Kluyveromyces lactis: one gene and its partners. The protein of the gene in region 1 interacts with the protein of each later gene in a pairwise test. Links are inferred from orthologs where the notes say so. Each region holds a gene or a part of one and is shown on either strand. Other genes may lie near its edges.

The links.
Region 2: the proteins of SNM1 (region 1) and POP4 interact in binary tests that used the Saccharomyces cerevisiae proteins (3 or more experiments, as listed by UniProt). The link is inferred for Kluyveromyces lactis from reciprocal best matches to the Saccharomyces cerevisiae genes SNM1 and POP4.
Region 3: the proteins of SNM1 (region 1) and RPP1 interact in binary tests that used the Saccharomyces cerevisiae proteins (3 or more experiments, as listed by UniProt). The link is inferred for Kluyveromyces lactis from reciprocal best matches to the Saccharomyces cerevisiae genes SNM1 and RPP1.

What each region holds. Positions count from the first base shown.
Region 1 is NC_006037.1:641,580-648,553, reverse strand, and holds SNM1 (Snm1p), read left to right. Parts: upstream 1-4,302; coding exon 4,303-4,875; downstream 4,876-6,974. Other genes in the region: KLLA0_A07227g (60S ribosomal protein eL18), read left to right, coding at 1-123; KLLA0_A07194g (40S ribosomal protein eS19), read left to right, coding at 1,006-1,025, 1,567-1,981; NAD-dependent histone deacetylase HST3, read left to right, coding at 2,541-3,920; PEX29 (Pex29p), read right to left, coding at 5,003-6,580.
Region 2 is NC_006042.1:193,126-200,329, forward strand, and holds POP4 (RNase P/RNase MRP complex subunit), read right to left. Parts: upstream 5,832-7,204; coding exon 5,007-5,831; downstream 1-5,006. Other genes in the region: GTPase-activating protein RGD1, read left to right, coding at 1-65; cullin RTT101, read right to left, coding at 114-2,270; KLLA0_F02167g (uncharacterized protein), read right to left, coding at 2,437-4,320; SHG1 (Shg1p), read left to right, coding at 4,574-4,960; AIM22 (putative lipoate--protein ligase), read left to right, coding at 6,099-7,204. UniProt on the Saccharomyces cerevisiae protein: Required for 5.8S rRNA and tRNA processing; associated with RNase MRP and RNase P.
Region 3 is NC_006039.1:1,284,354-1,291,536, forward strand, and holds RPP1 (RNA-binding RNA processing protein RPP1), read left to right. Parts: upstream 1-3,094; coding exon 3,095-3,952; downstream 3,953-7,183. Other genes in the region: SUM1 (Sum1p), read left to right, coding at 1-2,653; KLLA0_C14740g (uncharacterized protein), read left to right, coding at 4,473-5,033; GIC2 (Gic2p), read left to right, coding at 5,505-6,611; VMA22 (Vma22p), read right to left, coding at 6,931-7,183. UniProt on the Saccharomyces cerevisiae protein: Component of ribonuclease P, a protein complex that generates mature tRNA molecules by cleaving their 5'-ends. Also a component of RNase MRP, which cleaves pre-rRNA sequences.

The DNA of each region.
Region 1 (6,974 bases):
AGAGAAGCTGCTAGACACTTCGGTTTCGGTCCTCACAAGGGTAAGGCTCCAAGAATCCAATCTACCGGTAGAAAGTTCGAAAGAGCTAGAGGTAGACGTAGATCTAGAGCCTTCAAGGTGTAAGCAAATCCGGAAATATGATTTCATATTAATTTTTCCTTTCTGTTTACTCGCATCTTGCATCCTCTTGCTTTCGAGGCAAAGGCTCTATTTCGTATTCTATAGCTAGCTTATTATTCCATAATAAAAAGATTGTTATAATACAAGATGGCCATTACCTTTTTTTGCAACGTTGCTACTACTAGTTAATATTATCTTCAAGTGTTTATGTCCGGGGAAGGTTCCCGTGTGTATAATAGAATAAAATTCATACGATTAATTACTTACGCTGAGCATGATCACCTGATTGTGCAAGTCTTCATCGGTATATCAGAGGTGAAGGTATCGTCAGTTTCTGATCTGTGTGAGAACGTACAGGACTGCTCTGTTCTTTTCCAGTTTCAACACCCATACACCGTATATTATAGACGCATGTAATTCTTGAAAATACTATTGTATACCTAAATAGGAAATTATCATCTCTGTCTCTTTCTCCATTACCGACTGGTCATCCCCAGGGACCGAAAGGTTCCTCCCTGGGGAAGAACGTCTCAGGACTGATGCCACACCTGGCGTAGGGCAACCGTCCGCCTATCCTTCCCGCCTATCCTTCCATCCACTGAGCCTAGCTTCTCCTCTTCCTAGCCTGAACTCCATTCATGGCAGTCCAGTGCCAGTTCCTCTCCCCGGCCCTGTCTGGCTCAGTCTCAGTGGCCGTCCTGGCTGCCAGCTTCACCAAAAATTTCCAAATGCTATTGTGATATTTGATACTGGTGAATAAGTTATTGAATTAGTTAACGATTGATATAGTGTAAATAAGGCTTATTCATAGTTAAAGATTAGATCTTTTAGTGTTTAGCTTTGGTTAGTTGTTTCGAGTAACGATATCCAGAAGTCAAGAACAAAATGCCAGGTGTTTCCGTTAGGTACGTGAACGAATTATACATGAATTACAACGGGAGATTAGAGATTTGAATACGGATGGGACGATGCAATAAGAGCAAACCATGAAAACGACATAGGATATAGAAACTTGTACTAGATGTACCCGATATGACAAGACGTGGAAAGAATGTATTTACAATTTAACTGAGGAATATTGAGTACTGAGAGGCATCGACCAATTAACGAAACGAATAATGTTGCGTAAGAATATAAAGAGGCAGAATATTGTACAGTAATCAGAAATACTAGATTAGCATTGGGCATAGTTTTCATGGAAAACTATTTGATGTGGGATGTTCACAGTTAGAGCGAGATATGTCATGACATCACAAATTCTGAGACGATACTACCAATTCCCAATGTGACCCAAGTACTGCAGAAAATGACGAAAAAACTATTACTTAAAACTACAGCTGTTCCCTGATGACAGACCAACGTTGAAATCAATATCTATCCCCGAATTTAAACCGTTTTTTGAACCATTTTTACTAACAATTCATTCGCATGAATATTTACTTATAGAGACGTTCCAGCTCAAGATTTCATCAACAACTACGCTTCTTTCTTGCAAAGACAAGGTAAGTTGGAAGTTCCAGGTTACGTTGACATCGTCAAGACTTCCGCTGGTAATGAATTGCCACCACAAGACTCCGAAGGTTGGTTCTACAAGAGAGCTGCCTCTGTCGCCAGACACATCTACTTGAGAAAGCAAGTCGGTGTCGGTAAGTTGAACAAGTTGTACGGTGGTGCCAAGAACAGAGGTGTCAGACCACACAAGCACGTCGACGCTTCCGGTTCCATCAACAGAAAGGTTTTGCAATCCTTGGAAAAGTTGGGTGTCGTCGAAATCTCTCCAAAGGGTGGTAGAAGAATCTCTGACAACGGTTTGAGAGATTTGGACCGTATCGCCGCTGCCACTTTGGAAGACGAAGAATAAACTTGGTCAGTTTGTTAAACTTAATAATAAAAATATTATCTTCTTTTATATCATTATTTTACCTTTACAAATGACCAATCTTTAAATACACCCATATATATCTCTGTATAACATACGAATATAATATATCATCGTGCAAAAAACAAATCAACAAGGGCCCTTTGAAACGACTATCACAGCCTTGCCAACATTTCCTAGCTCTCAGCTATTGTTCCTCATCTCCATCAATATTGGTCTCTTTCCTGATTTGGAAATTTGTAAACTAAACATCTCTGTCACTTTAAAGCTTTTTTAAGGTTTTCAACGATTTATAACTTTGACATTCTTGCCAAAGACAAACTAGACACTGGGAGGTTTCTCGTAACCGACAAAGACTCGGTGTGCAGACGACCAGCGACACCTATAAATCAGCTGGCACCGGTCTCAAGAAATATTCTTTACATTTCGAACTAAGTGTCAGGAGAAGAACAGAAAACTGGTTATATTTTTTGATTCTAATCGGTTTTAACCCAGGAGTGAAACTAACGGTTATCTATCTATCCAGAATATATCATTCGACATGTCTGCTATAGTGCTCAGTCCGAGCAAGAATCTGAAAATGGAAGAGAATGATGCTGGAGTTTCATCTTCTCAGGAATCTGAAGGATGTTGTAGTCAAAGTTCAAGGAAAGTCACACTGGGGTCCATGATCCAAACGGAAAGAGTAAAGCATTTGTCTTTATCAGAGTATCGAGAGACCAATGAAAATAGCGAGTTGATTTCACAAATTAACCGTGTGATACATAGATCTAGGAAATGTGCTGTACTTACAGGAGCTGGAATATCCTGTAATGCGGGAATACCAGATTTTAGGTCATTTGAAGGTCTTTATAGGATGGTTAAAGAACAATACCCTGATGTGAATATCAGGTCAGGACAGGATATGTTTGATATATCGCTATTTCGAGAAGAAGAGAAAATCAGTGTTTTTGCTTCATTCATGGAGAATCTATATTCACACACAATTCAAGCCAAACCAACAAAGACGCACGAATTTATAGCACATTTAAAGAACAGGGGCAAACTTTTACGTTGTTACACACAAAATATTGATGGGTTAGAAGAAATGTTAGGATTACAGATGTCAAAATCTAGGGATGCAGATCAATCATTCTCCATCCAATGGAAAAATTTGGATGTTGTACAATTACATGGAGATTTGACAACACTCTCATGCACACAGTGTTTCAAAGTCTTCTCATGGTCAAGGCATTGGAAACGTTGTTTGAAGAACGGAGAACTTCCAGTGTGTCCAAAGTGTCTCGAAAAGAATAACAGAAGATCTATCGAGGGTAAAAGATGTTTGGGTCATTCGGGTATGCTACGTCCTAACATAGTTCTTTACGGCGAGAACCACCCAAACGCAGATTTTATTACACAGGGATTGAACATGGATATCAACAGAGGGAAACCTGATTTGTTTTTGATCATGGGAACAAGTTTAAAAGTTGATGGTGTCAAAAGATTGGTGAAAACAATTAGCAAACAAGTTCATGATCGTGGTGGTTTAGTAATACTAATTAATAAGACAAGCATAGGTGATTGTAACTGGCATGGGATTATAGACTACCAAATAGAATCTGATTGCGACGAATGGGTCACGGAATTAAAGAAACATATGAGCGACTTTTTCCTATCGCAGCAACAACTAGAAAAGGTTAGACAAATGAAAAGAGAGGCTAGTGAGTTAAGGAAAAGGCAAAGGGAAGAAAAACAACTGCTTTCACAGTCTTCTCAATCACCAACTACTCCTCCGAATAGTCCGAAGAAAAGAAAGACGGCAACTTTACCCAACGAAAAATCGATACCCAAACTCAAGAAGACAAAATCGCTATGTATGCTACCTTCTCCAGAAGAAATGTTTAGCATGTCACCAAGAACTACAAGCTCTGTATCCTAATGTCAGCAGGATACGAGACCCTTTCTTATATTCGCATTACCTGACCGATATGAAATGAAACGAAACAAAATAGTATAGTTACGATAAGCTTTTTTATATTCAATCTAAAATCATAGAGTACTAGATAAAAACTCTCCAAATACCCCCTTAGCATAGAGTGTATAAATAACCCTATCAAGTAACGAATAATACATCACGAGCAAGGTGAACAGCTTTGCCTCAGCTTGTGCCAGTTTCACTTCCCTTTAAGTAATCAGAATTAAAGTGAAAAATTACGAAAGATGATCTCATCTCATCGCATGTACAAGATGCGGATAAAGGACATATTAAATAAGAGGGCAAGCGTTCAGCGACACTTCAGGGTGGCATTTAAACTATTGAAATGAGTGGCAGAAGGGATAGGGAAAAATTCATGGATCGGACCATGGCCCATAAATACAATATGATACATCATGTGCAGCGATTGGGAGAACCACAATTGTCCGGATTATACTTGAAGAATTTCTACAATACAGCAAAGAGATATAGACTGCCGTTACCCGAGAGCATCCGTGCTGATAATGTCAAGTTCTGTGGGAACTGTGGGTGTGTAAGGATAGCCGGATATAACCTTACAATGAAATTGCTGAGAGAAACTGACGAGAACGGGGTAGTAACTCGGAATTTGAGATATCAATGTGGCCATTGCCAGAGCGAATATAACATCGAGGTAGATAAAACGGAGCCCAAAAAAGATGCTTCCAGTAAGGAGCCATCTCCCAAAGTCGATATCCAATGGCCGAGACAATCGTCTCCCGAAGTCAATGATGATAAGATCAAGAAAAATACCACTGCGAAGGAGAGAGCTAAGAAAAGGAAACAGTCAACGTTATCCAACTTATTGGCAAGTAAGAAGGAGAAAGAGGAATCAAAGAAGAAAAATGTATCATTAAGTCTTATGGATTTCATGAAATAACTATAAACAGAAAAGAGAGTCTACACTTAAAATGTTAGTTGTAAAAATTAGAGCTAGGAAGACGGTTTTTCTGTCGATATACAACGATCAAAGAAAAATAATCTCATAAGAGAGTTCGTAATTGTTATCAGCCTGTCAAACTAAGGAGATCAGTTAAGCTCCTCACAGCTTTCGATTTTTCAGCAGAATTTGTTTGTTGAGCTACGGAGTTTGTGCTTCCCTGACTGATAAAGCTGGATATGGATGCAGTCGAAGGGGACTTAACTATGCCGTTATCATTATTTGCATCATTAGTCTTTGTAGCGTTTTTATCGGCACCAGAGAATGATGTTTGTGTAATCGAAGCATAGCCATTGTATAAATTTCGATCTACTGATTCCATTTCATCATCGGTTTCGTTAACTTCATTACTTTTTGTGGTGCTGTTTCCACCATTCTTCACTGCAGCTGTAAAATGTTTCTGTCTGATGCAAGCTTTCACCCATCTTCGTCTCCTGTATTGGCCCCTTTCACCATTCAGCTCCACATCATATACCCATTTTGTTTCATTGTCAACATCAACGTACTGTATGAAACCTGCAGATACCCATTCCGTAGGATGAAGGTCTAAAGTCCAATCTACATTAAGTAGCCAATCCCATTCTGCAGGAGGCTTTACTTCTGCCAATGTCTGAACGTTAGGTATTTGACTGGTCGATAGCTCTTTCATCCTACTCTCAGAAAACAATGCGTATTCATCTGTAGAATAACCAACCAATTCCCAACTTTTTTCCTCCGCATTGAACCTCTGAAGCTCGAATATCGAAGCTTCTCTTCTTTCTCTGGGTTCATAAGAATCAAATTTATCGTTTATAATACGCTCTATGTGGTTCATCTTGGTAAGTATCCTTAACCGTGTCTCCTCTGAATACATCAAATTAAACATGGTGTCCCTTATCTTTGGATGTAACGATATTACAAAAGTCCATCCGGCACATAAAAAGATGAATTTCCAAGGTATTAGCGAGGAAATACTATCAATAGCTAGCGAATTGATACAAGAGAATAGCAGTAGTCCTAGAAATACGGCCGAACTGACATTCTCGTTCTTAAAGTATGCAAACTTAGCCAAAAAATTCGATACGAAATCGTATGCCATCACATATAACGTCATATGGTTCTGCAAGTCAGTTAAGTTTAATATGAACTCCTTGCTAAACTCTGGAACAGGACCTGGCAATTGTGGATTTTTCAACGGAGGCCCGCGAGCAGGAATTGGGTTATGATCTAAGTTCATGTGAGGATCAGGCTTATGTATATCCATATACGTTGGTGACATGATGCCAAATAGAATGTACACGAAAGGACCCGATACAAGCACTGGTAATGGTTTCAACACTAGAAACGAATAGAATGACATTATGCATAAAGTATAAGCTGCATTAGTCCAATTGAAGATCCTTATTATCTCATCAATGATCATGAATGGGGCGCCAAGCCTCGAATTCATCTGCACGAAGTTCCTACTCATTATCGGCACAGACAAGCCAGGTCTTCCTGCACCTGCCTGTACCCTATTCTCTATAGTATCAGTAGCCAGATCATTAGAGGCAGGCAATGCCATATATATAATCTTCTCAACAAGCTTGTCATTTAACAGGCTCTGAGTGCTTTGCGATGGGCTGGTATCAGACCGCCCCGTTGTGCTCTTCCAGATCGCATCCATATCTTCCAAAACTTTAAGGAAACGCTTCTAATAAGACTTGACTGCAGTATCCTTACTCTCTTTCCTTCCCTTTCCGTATGGTATAAACCGAAATTGCAACTAAGGGTGGTTAAACTAGTAGATCTTTTCTCAATTACCTTGACCCTATTATTATTGATTCCTGTAAATAAACGTTTAGATCTCTAAATATTCAAAAATGTATGACAATGGCAACGTTTCTAAGCAGCCAATTGCTATTCACTAATCGCTTTATATCAGTACTTGCGTTGCTTTGAAGGTTATTCCTCTGTATTCAACAATTCCTTGATGTACGTTATTTGTGTCTAAATTTCAATAAGAAACCTTTAAATTCATGTGAATTAATTCAACCTTCTTCGAGACATTTTATAACTGT
Region 2 (7,204 bases), on another chromosome or scaffold:
ACTACCAAATAAGTGCGATGGAGCTCTTGTTCGATGTGGCGGATCAAGCATTTGAACCTGAGTAAATGTACTAATAAAAAGAAATCATTTAAATATCAAAACTAAGGTAAATTCTATAATAAGTATTGTACGTTACCATTTTCCGATGTATAGTATTCGCCGCATCTCCCAAGCGCGTCTTTGAATTCTCCGCGGCTGATACCCGGGAAAGCAGAAGCGACATATTCAAAAAGTTTTGTCTTTGTACACTTTCTTCTTTGTTTCAACGTCCTGATAATGCATGCACAGACAATTTCAGTGAACCATCTATTATCTGCCTTATCGTTTTCCATAATTTTTGGCGATATTTTAGGAAGATGGTACAGTGTCAATTTACCATCATTAAGAGCTTCCTTTTTGGGTTTGTATTTAGTATTCAGATAAAAACAGTCCTCAGAATCCTTTTTAAACATGTTCATTTGTAAAAACATTTCCATATTGCTGTCAATCTGAGGTATATTGTGCTTTGTTTCTGTCAAAGTGTTTTTTATTTGTTCAAGTGAAAGACGAGCACTGTTATTAAATAAGTGAAATATTGATGCTTGAAGTAGGTTAACGTGAAGTATCACTATTTCAGAAGAAATTCCATGTCTAAAGGGGCTTTTCAATTCCAGAAGATTTAGCTGACACTGGAGTGACATTGTTTTGTGATCATTCCTATCTAAAACCTTGTAGTACTCCCATTGTTTATTCACCATACCATTTAATGGTTCCGGTAGTATGAGTCCTGAAATTTCGGATGAATCCAACGAGTCCGAGATGTTAGATTGTTTAAGAATGACAGGAGTTATCTTTGGAGCTCTCTTCATTCTCAATGATTCAATTAGTTCGTCGTTTAGCTGCTGGAGTTCAAGAATGTGAACTGACTTCAACAGCCCACAGCAAAGTAGCTGTTGGTCGAATCTCTCGTTTGTTTTAATCAGCTGCTCGGAACCCCCCAATGACTTTAGTACCGACCGTAGAAAATATTTTCTCTTATATATGTTCCATAGTAACTCGTCTTGTTTTGAGTCTGGCGGAAAGATGTCGTTCATAAAAATGCAGCATGATCTAACCAGATCTTTAATCCCAGAAAATTGCCCTTCCTCAGAAACCTTACACAACCATCTGTCAACTTTTTCAATATTCTTTATGTCTGCATTAAAAGTCAATGTAATCATATTCTTCATTATTGCCTTTCGATTAGAATCAAAAGATTCGCTTGACATGGAATAGGTGGAGATGAAGGACGACAAATAGTCTTCGTCAAGCATTTTACATATAACTCGTACTACGAAGTTATCATATTCCTCACCTCGCCACGGGTAATAGGCATATATCATATCCCCTAGCTCTTCTATTATTGTTATTATCGTCATTTGATCATCCATACATCTATCGAAGAAATCCTCGAAGTATTTAAACTTCAATAAAAGAATATCCACAGTATTGATGCTTAAATTTTGACATAATATTTGATATTCGGAACAGTAGTATATGATTTGTTTTTGAAGACTGTCGACTCTTTTGAAGTGGTCAGAACTATAAGTAAAGGAGTTAATTATGCGATTAGTGGTTTCTTCAAAAAGCCCCAACACTGACGATTTATCAATTGGAATATCGTACCTGATAATGTTCTTGACCAAACTGAACTGGGATGTTGTACGTGATTCTAACGCTTCGACTATAAACGATTCGATAGTTTGTCGTAGTTGCGAGTGCAATCGATTTGCTATTCTTGAGAAAAAGACTAACGTTGCGTAGCCTTCTAATGATCGGCAGGAGATATTTTCCAAACTATTTGGAAGGTTCCGGAGAAAAGCCTTGGTGTAATATTGCAAAGAGTTCACCTTGCCCTGTATCTTTTTGTAAGCATCTTCTAACTCACATAAGTTTGTTAACCATTCTATATTCGTGAAATCTTCCTCGTCCACCTGTTCATTTATCAATTTGCTAAGAAGTGACCAGAGATCTTCAACAAACGTGTCCTTAAAGACAGCAGCATATTGACTTGAATTACTGGAAGCCTTAGCAAGCCTCGGTACTTTACATCTAATCAATTTTTGCAAAGTGAAATATATCTTTTCATCGTGTTTAAGGTCATCTCCTGGGATTTGATATTGTCTAAGCAGCAGTTCGAGCTCAGATAACAGAGAATCGTACAGAACTTTTGAGCTTTTGATTCGTTCGGGAACCAATAACGGCATGTCACATTGACTGTACGTTGAGGGTGGAACCTTTATGCGATACATACTGTCCCATAACAATTGAAATACTAAGTGTTATATGATCCTACGTACTTGCCCAATACTATATCAAAAAGACATACGAGTCACGTGCCAGGTAAAGGAAGTACATTGTGTTGGCTACGTAACTAGCAGCCAATGACGTAACAGTAGAAGTTTTGGTATACTGAGCTCATGGTATTGTGAAAATATTATTCACCAGAAGTTTACTGTTAGGTTTGAATCCAAGATTAAGTGCAAATATGCCATCTTCTTTCCTGATCAAGAGTCCGTGCTTGACTAAGGATGATAAATAATGGCTGAACATTGCTTGGTTGCGAACGGAAAGAGCACTAATCATTTCATCTAGCGACCAGCTTAGTTTTTTATTGAACAATGTATCAAGAATGACAGCATGACATAAATTGAAGTTTATGGATATGTTGGTTTTTTGAAAAATTGTAGGTTTCATGATGACTCTATGTAGATGCGGTTGATCATAAAAGTGTACATTAATACCATCACTTGTAATCCGTGGTTCGTGTTTGTTAACCCATTTTCCTGGCAGATTAAAAGGAAGTTTTGCCGAATTTTCTGAGTAAATATTAGGAAATATTTTTGCTGGTAAGATGATATCGTTCTTCCTATTGTTTCTCGTTATCTTTAATGACAAATGACTGAACATCCTGTTAATATTATTTAGTGTCCCAGCATCCTGCTGCATTACTATGTAAAAGCGAGCGAGGGGAGCGTCAAGTTCTAGTTTCTTGCCAACTAAAATAGATTTGACTAGATCTATGGTTAGATTATCTCGAATGATTTCTTTTATAACGTATTGCTCAAAATACGAAGCAGAAAATGGTTGAAATTGTCGAGTGTTCTTCAAGAATACTCCTATTTTCGTTAGCCATCTTCTTTCTTTTTCAGTCATGTTGTATGCTTTTTTACCCAACACATCTCCAATGTTGGTAGTGCCTGGAAAATAAGTAAGAATGTGTTTCACCATCAGTCTCATGAATTTAATAGTATTTTTAGAGTCCAATTCAAATGCGTATTGGCGGCTCATTATAGGCTTGCGCTGTTGAAGAATGAAATCCATCATTCGGATCAAGAGGCGGTGGTAATTAGGCCCAACCTCAGTCAAATCTTGTACCCACTTCGTAGTAATTTCGAGGTTAGCAGATAGTATATCCTTTTCGGTCAAAACACTTTGTAAACCACATATATTATAGCTGATACGCTGAGAATTGAGCGGTTGTGATGAACCGAGTTTCTGTGAGATCGAAGCTTTGTAGAAATCAACGTCAGCAAATACAGCAAAAAAACCGGCACGAGTCACTGCAAAAACTTCTTCGGGATATATTTGGAGAGTCACGTTGTGCAAATAATTCATGAAGGTATAAGCTTCCGCTTCAAAGTCCTTAATATCTGACTGTACTTGCAATTGGGTTTTGAAGGTTAATACCAAGCCCTCGAGAATAGATAAGATAAATCGTGGATTAACATCGTTGTTCTTAGGTAGGGATATCGGATCCAAAAAATGATGATAATGTGAATCAAATCCTAAGTCTGAAAATAACTTGCAAACCTCATAAAACTGGTCATTCGATATGGATCTTGTCTCAACCTCAATTTCAAACCCTCTTCTAATTAGATCGTTCAACTCAGAATATAATTTATATCCAACAATGGTGACCAGCCATTGTACGAGAAGTGAGTAATGTCGTATATTTAACCCGAGTTTGTGTAGTGCTCGCTCTAAAGGTAAGAAAAGAGGCTGTATTTTCCTTAGTTGAAGTTTTATTGTTAGGATGTGTTTTGCCAAGCTCCCAATAGTCAATGGACTTTCAATAGTGTTAGTCATATGCTGCATTTCATTGTCAAAGCTTTGTAAGAAACCTCTTGTGACATCGAGTAAACGGTTCTTATTGTCGTCCAATCCATTAGCATCCGAGTACCTTAGTTGGTCAATCCATCGTGTAAGTCGTTTATTCACATCTTTTAACTCATCCTCTGATTTATTCACTAAATTACCGTAGGTGAACCATGTTAGCTCTTTTCCGTTTCGAATATTCATGGGAAGTTAATAGTTCATATCTTTCAGGTGTCATACACAGGGCTCAACGTATAACAAGAAGCTCTATTGCTCCTGCCACTTCTTTGTTGAAGTGCATCTTGAATGGAGGTTTGACTATTGAACTATCTTGTCTTGGCCAAAAAACTGGAAATTTTGGCGATTTTGCAGACCTTTTCTTTGCAATTCAGTGTAAGAAATTGCTACCTTGGTCTGGTATTGATGGTTTCACAATCACCTAAGGGTAGTACACGGCATGAATAGTAATGGTAACGATTTGAAAGAAGAGTCTTTAGATCCTGCCAAATATTTGGCGGAAACTTTTAAGAAGGAGGGTCATTTAGACAGTTTAAAGAATGAAATACTATCTCAAAATGTAGAGGGTGATATTAGCTTGGACGAATTCATAAAGAGCCGAGTAAGGGATTTAGTTCGTGATAGGGTAAATGAAGATGAGTCTTTAATTTTCAAGAACAGAGGTACCACGACTGCTCTTCTTGAGGGCCAATTATTTAAAGACGGATTCAAGAGTTTAAACACGTCAAATATCGATGTGGAGAAGCTTCTGAGTGATTCACTTGACGATGCGACGACGAGACAAAAGATAAGAACTATCCTTGAAGCCAAAACTAATGATAGTTGATTGAACAGATAAAGTAGCAAGGCTGCTACATATATATTTTACTTCGTTAACTAATGTAATATAATAGGTCATCGCAACGGCGACTCTTAAATTTTCTACCGGCTCTATCAACACTTCTATATTTAAATCTATCACCAAGAATTGTATAGGCTAAAGATTCTTCTTCATTGATTGGAATCTCGAAATCGAAAGTTGTTCCTTTCTTCGGTATGCTTTTCAATTCATCGACTAATCCGCCTTTCGTTATGATTATGAATGTCTTTTGAGCATCCCATATTACAATACCATTTTTCCCAGTTAATGACTTGTTTTTGGATTTAGATACCTTCAACTTACACCCGTTATAATCAGCCATAGAGAGCTTGATCAAAGTTTGCTGAGAGTTCAAAGGTAATGGATTTCCAACTTTGTGATTATCTGGGATGTTCAACAATTCTTTCATGTATGGACACCATATATCTTCGAACATGGAGGAGAAAGTTTCAAAATTCGGCAGTTGCTCCAATAAATCTTTGTGTTTCTCTTCAAGGACCCTTTGTAGCTGGTCTCTATCTGAAATTTTTAGTCTCTTGGCTAACTTTTTGCAACTTGCGGATGCATTATTGCATTTGTTTATATATTCCTTCAACAAAACTCTTGAATTCTTGTTCACTGCCTTGTAATTTGGATGTTTTAACCCAGCAGATCCACCCATACTACTTGAATGAAGAAGTTTTGCCTTACTCTTCTTTCTAAGCTTGGTAGACAGACCTCCATCAGTTGGCATCAAGAACAACGTCTGTGTTAATCTATTCTCATTGATAGGTTTCCTTGGATTATCAAAACATTTAGTGAATAAGCACTCTTCTATAAAAGGTTGAATACGATCCATTTTGGAAGCCCGTATATCCGTTCGCGAAGTAACAGCTTTAAAACGCAACACTTACCGAATACTGGTTGTACCCAGCTTTAAAACCGGTAAGATTGTTGTCCCTTCGGCAGAATGTTTCTTTCAAGTTTATCTCATCTCAATTTTTCAAGTTTTACCCGATGAGCTTCCGATATTTGATTTACTTCCATGCACAACGTTGTGAAGATGAAGATATAAATTTCGTTGGGCTGAACAATTTGTGAGGACCTCTATGGGTGAGAAGCATCCATGATCAGTAAATGTACGCATCGAGTAGCGACAACGCTATTGAGAAGTGGTATATCCGTTCCAAAACGACTATATACTCCAGCAAATAATCAGATTCCATTTGAACTGGATGAAACAGATGAAAAATACAAAGAGCTCAACAACATCTATCGTGAGCTCTTCACTCCAACAGATAAAGCTAACATTCTTACTACAAAAGATATTGAATCAAACAAGCGTTCTGAAGTTGATGAAATAAATGAAGAGCTAAATTCCTTGTATTCTGTCGGTGTACTTTCACCAGCGGAGCTGGAAGACGCGGTAAAAAGTAATGGAAGGTTCGTCATCAGAAGTGTATCTACCAACCCATACTTCAACCTAGCTTTAGAGGACTATGTGTTTCGTAATACGCCTTTAACTGAGAACAAAACGGGAAATGAAAGAATACTGCTTTATACCAATGATAAATGTGTCGTTGTCGGTAAGAATCAAAACCCATGGAAGGAAACGTACATGAGAAATATCGCATCAAGAGGGTACAATTTTGTAAGAAGACGTTCAGGTGGAGGTGCAGTAGTGCATGATTTAGGAAATGTTAACTATTCGTATTTGACGTCGAGAGAAAGTTTCCGCAGAGAGTTCTTCAATCAGCAACTTGTACAATGGTTAAGTAATGAGAACATTACGTTGAACGATAGAGGCGATTTGATCTATAAAGGTTATAAGATAAGTGGTAGTGCTTTCAAAATAGCTAAAGGAAAAGCTTATCACCACGGCACAATGCTAATAGATTCAGACCTGGCTCAATTCAAAGGTTTACTAAAACCGGATGTAATTCCTGGGGTTGAATGGACATGTAATAGTGTCGAAAGTGTTAGATCTAAGGTTGATAACATTGGCGGAAAAGCAATATCGTCAATTGATGACTTTTGCAATTTGATTACGGATCAGTTCAGAAATCTGGTTGATGACTCTGAAATTCCTATGTTTTATTGTGATGAATCAAGTTCTTTACTCGAGATCACAGAGATCTCCGAAAACTTACGGAGCAAAGAATGGAAATTTATGTCAGGCCCAAGGTTTGAGGTAATTTGTAATGACGTTACAATAAAGGTCGAGAAGGGTGT
Region 3 (7,183 bases), on another chromosome or scaffold:
TATTTTACCTGAAACTGACGAAATAATTCAAAAGAGTATTGAGTCAGTTGTGGTGACTTTGAAGAACTTATCGCATAACCAGCAAGTTTTGGAAACGAAATTCGAGGACCTTTTAAAGAACCAGGTGAATTCAGATGCGGCCATAAACGATCTATCCGTGGAGATCATCAAGATCAACAGGTTGTTATCCGATAGGTTAACGATGTCCGCGACATCAGGTGCATCGTCAGGGACGATGGGAACTGCTGCGTATGGATCACCCGCATATATGTCATCTGCAAGCGTCTCTCCTCCTCATAGGGGACCTGGTAGACCACCTAAGAAGAACACTTCGATATTGTCCAATGGCGATAAAAAGGCGAAATTGCCATTCCCAAGCGATCATATATCAAAATCAAAACGTCTTTTCCTGGACCCAAGTAAAGAAAAGACGGAGTCCAACTCAGGTTATGATGCAGATGGGGTTGGCAACAGTCGATCTCGTAGTTCTGCTAACGTCAAGCAAGAGACTCCTCAGGAACCAAAGAAACGTAGAGGTAGACCTTCAAAGAAAAGCACATGGGAAGCTCAACTCACTTCTTCACAAAGAAAGACAAATGCTGCAGATAATGATACCAAGGAAAGGCAAAGCTCTAGCTCTAGACGCAAATCTCAAAGATTGAAAAGTGGTTCGCGCCAATATGATGAACAATCGGATCTTTCATCATCGTTTTCCGGTATGTCTGATAATGAAGGGCAAGATGATGAGGGCGATGTCACAGACGATCAGAAACAGTTGGCTAATGATATGCATGACTCTCGTTCCAGAAAACAGAAGGAGCTCGAAATGAAAAGAGATGAAAGAGAAAGGATGCTAGTCACCATGAAATATAGCGATCGTAACGTTACCAGGAATTTCATGGAACTCAACAAAGATCTTTTCATGGCCATGAAACAAGAAGAACGGAAGAAAAGAATGACAGCGGTGCCTTTCAGCGTTCCAGTACCGTTGGGTAAATATCAACTTTCAAGTAAACATTTGGAAGAGTTATCAAAAGTACCTTTCTCCCTGTCGCAAACAGCGGAGAATTCTTCTGGTGCTCAATCACCTTCGTCTAATCCTCCAGACTCTGCTCGCTCTGTGACACCACAAACAATTATATCAGCATATAACAATTTGGAACAACCAGGCAATGTAGGCTCAGTTTCTACGGCAAGTGCGGATGATGTTAACGGTCAAAAATCGTCGTTACTGAATTCTGAGCACAAGGATCTGAACGGCTCTGTGAAAAGAACATCTTCGGACATCGGTGATCGATCTCAAATGTCCAACGAAGCAGAGGGACCACGTAAGGTCAGAATCTTGTCTATCTTGAATGATGATGCATCTACTGGTGTAAAAACAGAAGAGAATGGCTCGGCTAGACCTCATCTGTTAGACATGCCAAATTCGACTCCTCAAGGATCTGCAGACGCATTACCAAGTTCTCAATTATCTGTTGATTCGACAGAAAACTCGCAGGATAACTTTTCCGTCACCACTTTACAATCTGGTGGTGAATCACCAAATAAGAAAAGGCATCTAACATTGCATGATCGTCGAAAGATGAGCAGGATGATTCCGATGTTACCAGAAAAGAAAGATAAAAGGGGAAGACCAAGCTCTAACAATCAATCCCAAGAAAATGCAGCGTCTTTGTTAATGTCATCCCCTGTGGAACTTTACTGCCGTGAAGGTTTTTTTTATAGAAAAGGTTCTACAATTCCAATCACAGCGGGAGAGTATTTGGATTTGAAGTTCAGACACAAAGAAGACGAATTGATTAAATTAACAATGCATGAAGAAGATTACGCCGAGTTAACAAGACAGGATAGAATCAACGCGTATTTCCTTAAACCAGACGTTGAGATTGAAACCTCAATGGCTTGTCAAGTTTTGTCCAATGTCATATTAACCGAGAGATACGTCAATTCATTAGAATATTTCCTGATGGAATTCCGTTGGGAGAATAGATTGGTAAGTTTAGGTCTAAAGCTAAGAGAATCTAAGAGAACTTGGCAAAGACGGAAAGCCTTATTTGCATTATTTGAGTTTTGGAGAGACAAGTCGAAAGATAAGAGAGGTTTCCACAATTATACATTGTTGCATGCAATCAAAGAAATGGAAAATTACAGAGTCTTCATCAATAGGTCGGTTTCATGGTTTTACAACCACATTACCCTTTTAAAAATGATTCTTTTTGATTTATGTGATAATACGAATACTCATTGGAGAGAATGGATGTTCGCCAGAGGCACTGAACTACCGCTTGTTGGTAAAAATGGCGTCGATGTCATGAATATTAATAGAGAAATCGATAATATTTTGGTTCTTGATTTCCTAGAAGATGGTAGCAAAAATTCAAACAAGAAATCAAGTTCTATTCCATACAAAGAAAACAGTGAAGGCCCTCTAGAACAGCCTTATGTTACGAATGATGTTCCCGCAGACAAGGGAACAAAGGAATTACACACTGAGCATGTCCAACAACAGTCAGAAACCCCAGTTCCGGAACTGGCTGGAAATAGAACTGAAGAAAATACAAACCATGCTACTGGGGCGGTAGCTGTAAATCAAGATCAGCACTTACCTTCTTTACCGAAAGATTCAGAAGATGTGAACTCTACGCAATGATATTTATGCACATAGATCATAATGGTTCCTTTTTGGGCGCTGTTTTTCATCAAACCTATTTTAACGGACATTTTATCACTTTATGGAACAAATAGTAAGGTATGTACTCTATAAATAAACTGACAATTATTCTATTTAGATAATATTGTTCTCATACTCAAAAACATTGTGACATGGCCGATTGGATGAAGTTTAAAGTTGTATTTTTCAACAGTTGGGCTTTCAAGTAAGGATTGTACTTCATAGTATGTTATAATATCTTCAAGTATAATTTTTTCGGAAAAGACATTACAATAATCTACCAAAAAAAAAATCTAGTAAATAATGAAACATGAGCATGAGATGAGGTATGCTGGACACTCAAATGGAAACAAAAGTTTCTGTTGAATCACTTGTAAATACTCCTTCCAAATTTGCAAAGCAAAATAGCTATTTGAAAGGATGTTAGTTGATTTAAACGTTCCTTGGCCACAGAAGGATTTTGCAACACCGCCTTCCACGAAGGAGATTAAAACGCTGCACAAGACTCTAGCGACATTGCATACACTAGGGTACACTCACATAGCTTTAAATTTCACAGTAAACCAACAGGATAAATTCCCAAAATCAATCAATGATATGAATCCTATCGATCTATCGCATTTTGATGAACTAGTGAAATCTACGGGATTAAAGCTATATACAAGAATCACAATTATTATAGATGACCTTTCAAAAGGCCAGCCGTTGACAAAGATATCGCAAGCTTTCGATATTGTGGCAGCCCTTCCAGTCAGTGAAAAGGCTGTTACTCTCGTAACGTCTAGCTTGGATGTTGATGTGCTATCATTTTACTACGACAAAAGGCTTCCTACACTTTTGAAACATCACATGATGGGGGGTTGCATTAAGAGAGGAGTCAAAGTAGAAATTGTTTATGCTAACGCTCTTCGAGATATCAGAACACGTAGGCAGTTCGTATCTAACGTGAAGAGTGTGATCAGAACTTGCAGGAACAGAGGAATCGTGGTCAGTAGTGGAGCAACCAGCCCACTAGAATGTCGTAATGTCATTGGAGTTACAAGCATTTTGAACTTTATTGGGCTTCCGAATGACAAATCTCGTAAATCCATGGGCGAGCTTGCTAGTTTGGTACTTCTAAATGGTAGATTAAGAAATAAGAGCTATAAGCAAGTCATTTGTATTGGTAACGAAGATGTAGTCAATGAAGATTTTACACAGAATTCATCGTTCAAAATAGTCAAAAGGAAAAACCCAGATACACTGGAAAGTGATGACTCGAAAAGAACAAAAAGCTGAATTACCATGAACTTAATTTTCATACTGCACTTCTACTGTTGAATCTCTCGAAGCATTCAATAGTACCGATAATACGATATATAATAGATTTTATATTTATATAAGGAAAATAGTACAATAAGCATTAAGCAAAAGATGGATACAAGGTAAATTTAGGAAATTATGGGTAAGAGTAATGATATCGGTGATTTCAATCCACTTTGAGTTCATCTTTAACATGTCCAATTTTACGTTTAGTTTCCAAAGTCAAACTTACTATCAAGTTCTAAACCCAAAGTTATTTTTCATTCTAATATCTGTAAAAAGAGCAGGTTACTGTTACCCGCAACACATACATGGTGTAAATCCGATCAAAAGCTCAGCGGCTATTGAAAAGAGTATAAAAGTATCCAGCTTGGAGACTTTACGATTTTCTTCTTCGAATCATAAACCGCCTTACATAGAAACGGTCTATTATATAAAAAACACAGACAGTACGTAAGGCAGTAACTTGGGAAAACAAGTGCCACACAAAGTTAAAATGGGCGAGGTGAAGAGTTACTTACGAAAATGGAGACGCTCTTCCATTCTTAAAAGAAGCAGTTTGAAGGATAAACGGAAAGAAAATTGGGAACAACGTATAGAGAAGTCCTTGAGCGAATGCGATGACATTAAAAACTTATTGGCTGGTCGTCCAACGACACCTGATATTGCAAGAACGAATAATAGTACATTCCTTTCCAAGCGCTCTAGGGCTTTTGTTACAGAACCGTTATCGAACCAAGAATTGGATAAAATCAAATATATGAATTTTGCAATGGAGAGAGATTATAGAGCAGGTACTAGGCCAGTGATACCGAGAATGGATTCAACCAACAGACGAAAATTGAGCGTAAATCTCACCCCGACATCGATTTCAGCAGATGACTCCGAGAATAATGCGATAGTGAAAGACTTTTCTGAGTTCATTGAAATTTCTTTCAATAGTTTGAGCATTTCCGATGAATACACACCCCAACCAAGCTTTTCCAAAGAGTCCGAGGAACCTAGAACCGCCAGTTCTAAGAGTCTAGAAAGTCTATGGAGTAAAAATGTGAAATAGTCGTAATTGGTAACCATGTTGGGTCAACTAATGACTTATCTAACCCACGAAAAAAAGCCGTAGAAACTTGAGAAAAAATAACGGCCGCCAAAAGAAAAAAAGAAGACATGAAACCCAAGAAAAAAGAAAAAACCGGATTGGCGATGGTGAATTAGAGAGGTTAGAAAACATTAATTTTCGATCAACGAAACGTATCTGCATTCCTGAAGAGGGTGCGAAAATGAAAAATCGTGTTTTTACCTAATATAGGAATTCCTAAATTAACTGAATCCAGTAGTAGTTAACCATAGATGCGAAAAATGTCAGAAAATTGTGAAACCTAGGAATGCATGAAACATTACCACTGTGGACGCGGCCGATATATGTATATATAAACGGATAAACATGATCCAGGGTACAAAGGCCATGATTTGAATCATCAGAAACCAGGCATTGCCGAATAAAACAACCAACAGATCTGGGCCAATACTTATGATGAACGTACCTCAGATCAAGTCGATCTGGCTCGATGAAGACGATGAAACAGAAAAATTATATGGTTTACAAGCTCACCAGCTTCTGGATTCTGACGATGATGATGAATTGGGCGTTGTAATGATCAATAGTGATAAACCTGTCTTAAGTAATAGGAAAAACATTAATCTTCCTCCATTGCCGCCAAATGCGTATGATAAACAATCTGGAAAGAAATCTTTCAAGAAGAAGAAGAACAGCCTCTTAAAACTGTTTCAAAATAAATCAAGTAAAGAAGAACCTCCTAAGTTAAAAATTTCTGTCCCATTTGGATTTAATCACATCTCACATGCAGATTCTAAGGCAGGATTTGAAATGCCTACTGCAGATTCACCACCACCATCTAACAGTCACTTACAGGATATACCGGAAAATACCAAATTTCCGACAAACTCAACAATCAATTCCCCAACGCAAATGACTAAAGCTTTCGTAACAGATGCAATTCCATATGCTAAACACCATCTGGTTTCTAGAGGGTCATCTACAAAACGTTCTTCGGTTGGATCCAGTACGTACTCGAACCAAAGAGTGACATCAACTTCAACAATGGCTACCTCCTTGCTAAACGATTCGCATATGCGTTCCATTTCAAAATTAACTACCCTAGAGAAGACACATTTGAAGCATAAATATTCTCAATCAGATGCCAGTGAAGTAGATGTCGATTTCCTAAAAAACTATCAGTTCCCAACTTTGCTAGAAGAACAATCAATCCTCCAGGTATCAACACCTGAAACGGGAGACAAGAAAATAGACAAATTCCAATGGGAAACACCAGTAAATTCTGCGGATCTTTTAGAGACTATGCTTTTGGATGACTTGAAATCAGTACCAAAAAAATCAATTACACCAAAGCACTCATTGAAAAGAAACTCTGATCCAATTCTGACACCAATTTTAAGGCCATCAGAATACTTAGACTCTCCAAGAACCAGAAGGTCAGTTGATGATGTTTTATTATGCTATCTACAGCCTAGTGATGCTGGATCGTCATTGGATGAAAGCTCTAGTGAGTTTTCCTACGCTAGAAATTCAAACATTTACTATAAATCTATTCTATGATCTTCACCCGTGGCCAGGGCCATTCCATTCACTTTCACAATTGTTCTCAAGAAAATATACCCATCTTTCACTCGTTATTGCATTTACTGAAATCAGCTCTCTTTTTGATACAGATTAACCCTTCGTCGTTCATTTATTAATAATTAATCCCCAATCTGCATGTGTACAGATATACACTCATTGTACGTCTTTCAATTGGCGCCATCCAACGTTATTTTCGTTTCCAGTAAACTGTTCTTTCCAAATTAGCAATTGTACAGATAGTTTTCTTTTGTATTAACTCTGATATAAGATCATTCCCATAGCAATTATAAAGTTCTTAAGCTGAATTTGACAGAGTCCCTAGTGCGTCAAGTAGACCATTAAGAGTACGTCGAAGTTCTAGTAGTTGATAAAGTACCGGCATCGAAGCTTTGAAAGATAATTGACATTGTTTCAAAGAGCTTGGGATTGAAAGGGCACCTCCGAACATATATATAGGATCCTTCTTCACCTTTGCCAATAGTTTTTCTCTTTGTTTTCTCTTCTTTAAATTCTCATTGGTTGCTTCATCTTTCTCAGGAATGATTTCT